2 linked regions of the Caenorhabditis elegans genome follow. The protein of the gene in region 2 interacts with the protein of the main gene of each other region in a pairwise test. Each region holds a gene or a part of one and is shown on either strand. Other genes may lie near its edges.

Evidence for each region.
Region 1: the proteins of F13A2.4 (region 2) and F44E2.7 interact in a two-hybrid assay, tested with the Caenorhabditis elegans proteins (one large-scale study listed by BioGRID).

Annotation. Positions count from the first base shown.
Region 1 is NC_003281.10:8,845,301-8,850,253, reverse strand, and holds F44E2.7 (Putative zinc finger protein F44E2.7), read left to right. Parts: upstream 1-1,781; 5' UTR 1,782-1,783; coding exon 1,784-1,815; intron 1,816-1,863; coding exon 1,864-2,087; intron 2,088-2,641; exon of another isoform or gene 2,642-2,645; coding exon of another isoform or gene 2,646-2,721; intron 2,722-2,844; coding exon 2,845-3,426; intron 3,427-3,470; coding exon 3,471-3,569; intron 3,570-3,618; coding exon 3,619-3,811; intron 3,812-3,868; coding exon 3,869-4,154; 3' UTR 4,155-4,399; downstream 4,400-4,953. Other genes in the region: F44E2.9 (uncharacterized protein), read left to right, coding at 1-146; F44E2.8 (NADAR family protein), read left to right, coding at 385-495, 544-741, 789-1,204, 1,254-1,455.
Region 2 is NC_003283.11:4,398,114-4,401,865, forward strand, and holds F13A2.4 (Gag-pol polyprotein), read right to left. Parts: upstream 2,106-3,752; 5' UTR 2,069-2,105; intron 1,418-2,068; 5' UTR 1,391-1,417; coding exon 1,363-1,390; intron 1,074-1,362; coding exon 808-1,073; intron 761-807; coding exon 679-760; intron 633-678; coding exon 619-632; 3' UTR 522-618; downstream 1-521. Other genes in the region: F13A2.5 (M-phase phosphoprotein 6), read right to left, coding at 3,185-3,252, 3,300-3,434, 3,488-3,601, 3,656-3,752.

The sequences.
Region 1 (4,953 bases), on a different chromosome or scaffold from region 2:
ATCTCTTCTGCAAATCTGGAAATCTTGTGGATTTTGAGATGGACTTTGAGAATAAACTGAGATCGATTCGACGTGAAGAAATCCGAAGTTTGGAGCAATACACGAATGCGAAAAGCCCAGAAGCCAAATTTGGTGGAATAATTTGAAAATTTGTTGATTATTTCGATAACTTTTCGACTTCTTTACTTAGTCTTTTATAACGGTTGATAGCTCTTGTTTGTTAAATATGTTGATTTTGTTAAAATTATGTTATACTTTTTAAATGCCTTTTTCGTTTTCCTACTGGTGACAATTCCACTTGACTACCTTTTCGCATATTTCAATATTTCTCGAAATCTTTATCAAAATAATCTCACTATTAACAGAACATTTTCAGAACCAAAAATGAACAAGAAATCGGTCGGACAACCACCGGAAGGTCTTCATGAGACTAAATCGTTGGCATCGGCTCTTCCTGAAAAGAATGCCGAGCAAAGACCAAAATATGTACAAATTGTAGGAATTGCTGGAATCCTATTTAATAAATAATTTCTAAATTTATAGTTGAAGCAAGAAACCGCTGGCCCTGCTCAGGTGTCTCCTGCGAAATCTCCAGTTGGTCTTGGAAATTCTTCTCCTGCTGAATCGCCAGTTGTTGAGCCAAAGAAGACGAATGCTAAAGGAAAAGGATCCAAGAAAAATAATTTCGCTCAGCAAAATGGGAAACGGCCATTCAGAGTTTTTCTGAAGAAACAGGAAGTCGTAAGTAAAGTAAAGAATGAAGTTCGACAAAAATTATCTTATTTTAGGTTGCTCTTCCATCTGAAATAAAGTCCCGTGAACTTCCGATCGCCCCGGACAATGTAGTCTACTTCAATGGTCCTACTCATTATCTGTCTGCACTCTACCCGTGTACTGTTGTTGTGGATGGAAATGAGTATAACTCGGTTGAGCATTACTATCAAGCATGCAAACTCTATGTGCTCACTGGTGAACAGTCTGCTGCTCAGTTGAAAGCCTCTGAAACTCCGATCGAGGTGAAGAAAGCGACGAAGAATATTTTGAAAGAGGCGAAGATTCCAGCCAAAAAGATCTCCGCTTGGAAGGACAAGGACAGTATCGCTGTGCTCAAGCATGTTATTTATCACAAATTCAATCAAAACGATGAGCTGAAAGTCAAGCTTCTCGATACCGGAGACAAAATCCTCATTCAGACTTATATCGGGTTAGTATTATATTATTAACAACAATATTATTTACAAACCTTTTTTCAGAGACACGTACTTCGCTGCCGGCGCCAATGCCAAGTATACGAGCACTTGGGTGGATCGCCATGTCAATCAGAGCCTCAAATATCCGGAAAACGTGGTCGTCGACAACGTTCAGTATTTGCCATTGGTGGCCAACGGAAAGAATGTTCTCGGATGGATTCTTATGCAAGTTCGCGACGAGCTTCGTATGCGATCCTCCGCCTAAGCTCTCTCCAATGTTCTTTTTTGTCATTCCTCTCGTCGTACTTAAATGGGTCTCTTCTGCTGAATTTTCTATCGTTCCCTGTTATGTTTCATTTTAAATTATATGCGTCTTCTAGAACATCTCATTGTGCTCAACTTTGTCACAATGGTTCTGCTTGCTAGCTTAATTTTCTATATATGAAGAAACTGCATGATCGTATAATAAAATGTTGTTTTATATGAGTTTTTGCTACGGTATTTTATTGAAAAGGTATTTTCCTTAGCATCCTTAAGTTTGATTCGAATTTTTGAGTACTTCAAGAGTTTATTTTAGGTATAATCATCAAATAATGGTGAAACCAACCAGCTCGCTTCTTCAAAGGTTAGTCTATTCTTTAAGATTTAGTTTATTAAATATCGAATATTTCAGATACAAAAACAATGTTCGGGTGGATCCATCAACTCTAAACCACTACTTATGCTACTATTGCGGAAAAACATTGTCCGATCGGCTCGAATATCAGCAGCACATGTTAAAAGTTCATGAAGTTATGTCACAGTCCTATCAACTATGGTCTGATCACACAATGGACACATTAGGATTAATATGGAGTGAATCTAAACGGAGCTATGACCGGGATACTTCATGTTCTCGTGAGTAATGTTTTCTTTTTTGATTAGATAGTGATAAGGAACAATATTCAGAATGTGAAATTCTGAAAGTAGCCGGAGATTATAATTTCACAAAAACTTCTTTCATTCTAAAAATTGCAATATAGAATAAAACCTCTTGAGTGTCCACAACATATATATTTCTTACTGGTCATCTTTTAAACATTAATGTTAATATTCGCATTCGGAAAAAAAATTTTTCTCTGCGTCTCGATGAGAGAATGCAACTGCGCTCTACTGCACACCTATTCCTTACCACTGGCACTGGGCTTCCTCAATCTTTATTATTATTTTTTCCTTATTTTTGATAACTTAAAAATTCAAGAGATGCTTCTGTTTTGTTCCAGAGCGCGGCAGTAAAATCGAACCTAAATTTTTCCGATGAATTCGGACATTGACGTAGCACATCTTCTTGACAGAGTGGCAACACTTGAATCGATGGTGGGAGTACTGCAGGATAAAAATGACCAGAAAGATAGCGTTATTTTGAGTCTATCTAAGGCACTTGACAGCCAACTGGCTGAAATTAAAGATTTAAAAATGTGGAAAAAGACTGAACAAAATAGGCAGATGATTCAAGGAACTGCGCATAGACCAGATGAAGGTTCTGAAATTCGTAGGTTTTAGGTTTTTCCACGTAAACACTCGGATTATGTATTCAAGAAAATGCCGATTAGCTATGTTTAAATACAATTTAATGAAAAAAAATACGAGAAAACCTTATTAAATCTTTATACAGTTTCAGTTCCCGCTTCTCCTATGTCAAGAGAATCAAGAAACAGGAATTCGGACGATGATTATTACGATTATGTGTACGAAGACGAAAAGCCAAAAAGGAGAAGGATCGACGTGGAACAATCGAGACGATCGGTTGCTGCCGCAGCAGAAAAGCATCGAAAATTGCTAGAAGAGCAGAGAAGAAAAGCTGAAGCTGAATATGAACGAAAAAGGAAAGCTGATGAAAAGAAAAAAGAAAAAGCCATAAAAGACGAAGAAAAGCGTAAAGCAGAAGATTTGAGAAAATGTTTACAGTTGCAGCAACAGAAAACTGCTGCTGCTGCTCAAATAAGAGAAACTGCAGAGAAAGCAGCAGTGGCGAGAAGGATGAGTACTTTTGAGGTTGGAGAATCGTCAGAACAGCTAGCAAAGCCGGAAGGGGAAAAGAGAAAAAGAAGAAGAACTGAATCACGATGGCGAGAAATCGAATCTGATAGTGATAAGCCAGAGGTGACCGCATTGGTGAAAAAGATTTTGGAGGAAAGCAAGAAAAAGGAAGCGTCAAGCCAAGAAGTTGAAGATGCTGATCTGGTCCCTGAGCTTTGTAAGTTTCTGTGAATCTGTGTTAAATAAGAATAACGATTTCAGCCACACGAAAACCATACGATAATACGGAGCATGTTTCAAAGTTATGCAAAGTGTGCAAAAAGGGTCCTCATTATACATTTGCAAATCTGTTCGAGCATTGTGAGTTTCTTTATTTGTGACCTATTTTACAAAATGTTGAAAATTTCAGATCAAGACCTCCATAATGCAACAATCAAATCACTTCACTATTATGGATTTAACGGAAATAAGTTAATTGGAAAGAAGAATCTAATTGAACGAGATCACTGTCAGAGATGCGTTATCAAGTTCCCAAGAGCACGAGATTACTTTGCGCATATGATTAAACATCACGTTTATGAAAGTGTCAGATGCCAGCTTGAGTTAGTTTTAAACGAAATTATTCGCTGTGATTAATGTTCTAACTTTTTCAATTTCAGTTTCGAAAACGCCACCAACGCGGACGTTGAAGCTAGAATGATGTTCCGTGACAGAATCCTGACTCTTGGATACAACTTCAAATTCGAGCAAGTAGCTGATCCAAATCTCGTATCAGATGTTTTGGAACCTGGACAAGAACCATCGACAAGTGCGGAGCAGGAAGATCCGAGCTCGCTCAAAATCGTAAAACTCGAGGAACCAGAACTTGAAGAACAAAAGGCTTTGAAACCAGAATCAGAGGCGATGGAGCAGCAGGAAGACGTACACTCGCTGAATCCTGAATAATTCATTAATTTTCAATCATATTTTGTTATTTTTTTTCGGGTTCTCACAAACAATTTTACGTGAAACGTGATTCTTCATGTTTCGCGCGATTCTCAAAATCTAATCTCATTCTGTCTCCCATCTAGATATCTTATATTTCGGTGTAATATCTCTCTTCCACCACTCATAATGCAACTTTTACATTCAATAATTTTCAATTTGTTACCTGAACATTCCCGTTTTTAAATGAATTATTATTTCGACTATTTTGTTTCTTTCAGATTCAAGGAAAAGAAAAATTGGATATCCAGTTTTCACTGCTTAACACTTTAAATAAATGTATTCTATTTTGCAATGAATTTTGGTCAAAAATACGTTGCCCGGTCTCGACACGACAAATCTTTGATTGAATTCAAAATTTCAATTTGTGCGCCTTAAAGACTACTGTAATTTAAAACTTTTGTTGCTGCAAAATTTTCATCGATTTTCAATTTTGTTTTTGTCTCGTGATTTGTAAAAATTTTAGTATTAGAATGAATAAATATATTTTTTAAATAATTTCATCGAAAAACTACATTTAAAATCGATATAATTCCCATTTCAACACAGGTTTTAAATCACAGTACTTTTAAAGGCGCACATCGATTCGAATCCAGCGAAAATTTGTCGCGTCGAGACCGGGTACCGTAATTTTAGCGCAAAACTTTGCTTCTGGATAATATTGCGAATTCTCCGCTTGAAATGGACATTTTTTGATTAAAAAAAGGCGTGTTTCAAATTGTCGAAACTCATTATTTATTTAAATGATATATCAGTCACC
Region 2 (3,752 bases):
AGTACCGAAATCTGAGACTTTTTTTAGGCCCGAAATGGCCCAAAGCCTTGCAAGATTAACAAATGTTTGTAGATTATTCTTGGTGAATACGCGGAAATTAGGCCAAAAGGCTACTTGCTCAAAAAATACAGAGCTCGCAAATTGTAAACAAAATCTTGTCGGAGCTACACCATAAAATGGGTGAAAGAAAAGCCGATAGGCCACCCGGCATGAAAGGATGATAAAATTATAAACAATTTGGTTATAACATGAGTAATCTGCAAAAAAAGATTTCAACTGAATCAAAAGGATCGAACTTCTACGATGATGAAACACAGACAGTTAATAGGATCTCTGGAATTTTCAAAATTTACCATTTTGTGCAGTTTTTATTGTAAAACTTCAATTTTCTTATATTAGCAAAAATTTTATATTTGTGAGGCCAAAAAAGATTTCTGAATTCGCGGCAAGACTCTAAACTTTATTCCTGAAAATATTTAGCTCCTGAAAATTTCAAATTGAATAATACCCAAAAACCTAATCAACTGTATAAACTTTATTCTACATTTTCACATTGCAATATTCACATAAAAAACATAAGATTAACCAATCAATATGTCATATCCCCATCCCGACGGTTTAGCCCATGACGACTGAAATAAAAATATTATGCAAAAGCTTCAGGCTCAAAATGCTTACTTTCTTCGGTCCAGGTCTCACCTCCAAGGACACCCATGCCGCGGCGGGCATTTCTTCTCACTAGGTTTGGGAAGCCCTTGATCTAAAAAGATGTTGAATATAGAAATGTGGTTGAAAATGAATCAATACCTTCGGAGATTTTTTCGCCTTCTTTGCCTTGGGTTCCTCCGGGAGTCGCTCTTCGCTTTCAACATCGTTCTCCTTGTCTTCAGCGAGATCCTTTTGCTTTCCAACCTCCAGCTCTTTCTCAACTTCGGTTTTCGCTTGCAGAAGATCCTCAAAGGAGGTGATTCCTCGAGCTTCAACGAGAAGGTTGAGCTTCATGAGGAATGGGAGCCGGGGTGCGTCACGAGCGCGTTCCTCGGCGCTTTGATGGGCGAGGTTGGGGACAATGCCTGAAATTACAGATAGGTTACAGATAGGAATACACATAGGAAACAGACAGAGAAGTATTTGTAATTTCTAAAAATAACTTTACTTTCAGTCAAAAGTTTTGAAAAGGTGCTCAAAAACTGACTCGAATATCAATGTTTTAAGAAACTTTTTGCAACTTTTTATTGAAAGTAAATACATCTTCATAAAGTACAAATATTTCTCTACATTTCTACATAAAATTCAAAAAAAAAACTTAGACACAATAATGAGAAAAGAGGTATTTCTGATCGAAAACCAAATAAAACTCACCAAATTGGGCAGCAGTTTCAGATGTCATAGTGGGGAGAGCTGATGAACTATTTACCTGAAAAACTTGGATTGAGATTGAAGGACAAAAAGGAAAGGAAAATGAAAACTAGAGAATTTGAAAAATTAAAAAAAAAGTGTCTGCTAGTTGAAAACTAATTTTGAGCCGAAAGCGAATTCGGAAGACGGTTTTTCAAATTTTTGGCAAACGACAAAATTTGGCAAACTTTCGGCCAAGTATAGAAAGTCAGTTTTTCCACGCCATTAACACAGATCATAATACAAATAGGACATCCCTGGTTTCTGTATATTTTATTTTACTATTTTTAAAGGGTAAGTTCAACGTCGGGAGTGCCTAGAAACAAAAAGAAAAGCTGCTTAGCTGTCAATAATGGAGAAGAGAATCGAAGAGAGCAGCAGGTAGGCAAATGGCTGCCCAATCACCAAACTCTCCCTTTTATACCCCCCCCCCCCCCCTAAAAAAGTTAGCGGTTAGTACGGAACCATGAGATCATGAGAATGCCTACTTTTCTGGCGGCAAATATCTCGTAGCGAAGGGACCTGTGTCTCTCTTCGCCACATGCTCTCTCGCTTCCGCGGCCTGCAAATATTTTCGCGCCAGTAAATAAGTATTCTCATGATCTCATGGTCCCGTAATATGTTAAAAACAATTAGCAATAGAGCGCGTTTTTAGCCCCCGTTTGCTCACCTTTTATCCAAGAACACGCAGAGATTGTTTTGAGAAAGTGTTCGACGGCGAACTCCTGAAAATCGATAATGTTGCGGTCACGTAGGGGTCAACGCCTTTTATGTGGATATTTTAAAAGGAAAGAAAATGATTTTGAATTTATGAAAATGAATGAATTAAAGGATGAAACATCTGGTGGTAAAAACATGTGTACCAGGGGTGTGCGGCACATCTCACAATGTGCCGAGCTCGGCAAATTCGGCAAATCTAGTTTTTTGAAATTTGCCGTGCTCGGCAAACGGCAAATTCGGCGAATTCGGCAAATTTGCCGCACACCCCTGATGGGTACATTGGGAATTTGGACTGCGTTTTTTTTTCAATTCCTTGGCAGTATACCACCCGGTTAGACATACTTTAAAGCCCATTAAGCTTCGAATTTTTTCAGAACATTCTTCCATTATCTGCTTCAAAAATGTGCACCTGTCTATACATTCCTATTTTGGTAGTTCTTTGGTAGTTCCACGAATAAAAATTTATACGTGCAATCTACAAATCTGCTTATCAACTTTTCAAATCAAAAATTGATATAGAAATGCAGAAACATTTTTGCTATGTCTGAAAATATTACTTAATTTTTGTTGCAGAGCTCGGAAAATACCTCAAGTAGTGGTTGAAAATCACCGTTTGACGTCATTTTTGAACTTTTATTATTCAAATTTTCAAATTTACAGGCAGTTTTTCTACATTTCTCTATTAATTTCCCATTCACAAAGTTGTTTTTTGGTATCGAAATGAACAGTTTTTAAGTTTGGCGAAAAATGTTCTGCATAGCTCTGCCGTTTTGGACGCTCTATGGTTGTTCCGCTACTGAAAACTCATGCGTAAAAAACTTTTTCCCAGATAAATTCCTAACCCCTGAAGCTTCTCATTCTCTTATCTACCCATCATGCTATGTTTACAATCCCACATATATATTTTGAGTTCAACAGGCGGTGACCTTGAGTTCGAACAGCAACATGTGACTCTCTACGATTTCAATTGTTGGCAAATTGTCATTTTATTGGAAAATAGGAAAATAGGAAAATAAGAAATTTTGAATAGGATAATCAGGGAAAACAGATTTTAAATTCGACAGTTTCACTTCTTCTGCAAAGTCTTCTTTGGTTTCTTCGACTTCTTCCTGATCTCCTTCAGAAATTGGATGTCTGAAATAATAACTAATTGAAACATGAAGCTCAAAACTCATATAAACCATCTTCTGTATCTCCCTCATTGTAGTTGACTGGAGCCTTGGCGTTGCGCGCCGGGTTGAAGCGAACTACGGCTCCATGCCCGTGCAATTTATTGATCGCTTTCTTCTTCTGAGCAATCAACATTTGGCGATACTCTACAAATCATTTCTACAAATCAAAATTTTATAAAATTCCAATTTTGACCTACTCGTGGTCGCCTGAGCTTCTTCCTTGCGCATCCACGGAACTGCTTCCTTCACAAGCTGCTCATTTTGAAGAGCATCTTCTTTGACCCAAATTTGTTCTTCGGGGGACAGGGATGCTGAAATCTTATAATTCATTATGTGCCACATAATATTAAAGAAATTAAACTCACCGATGTAACCATCCAGCCCTTCCATTTCGCTTTCAAGGGTCATCATGACATCTTCATAATGACAAACGGAGATGGGAGAAGTTTTCTCAAAAACTAG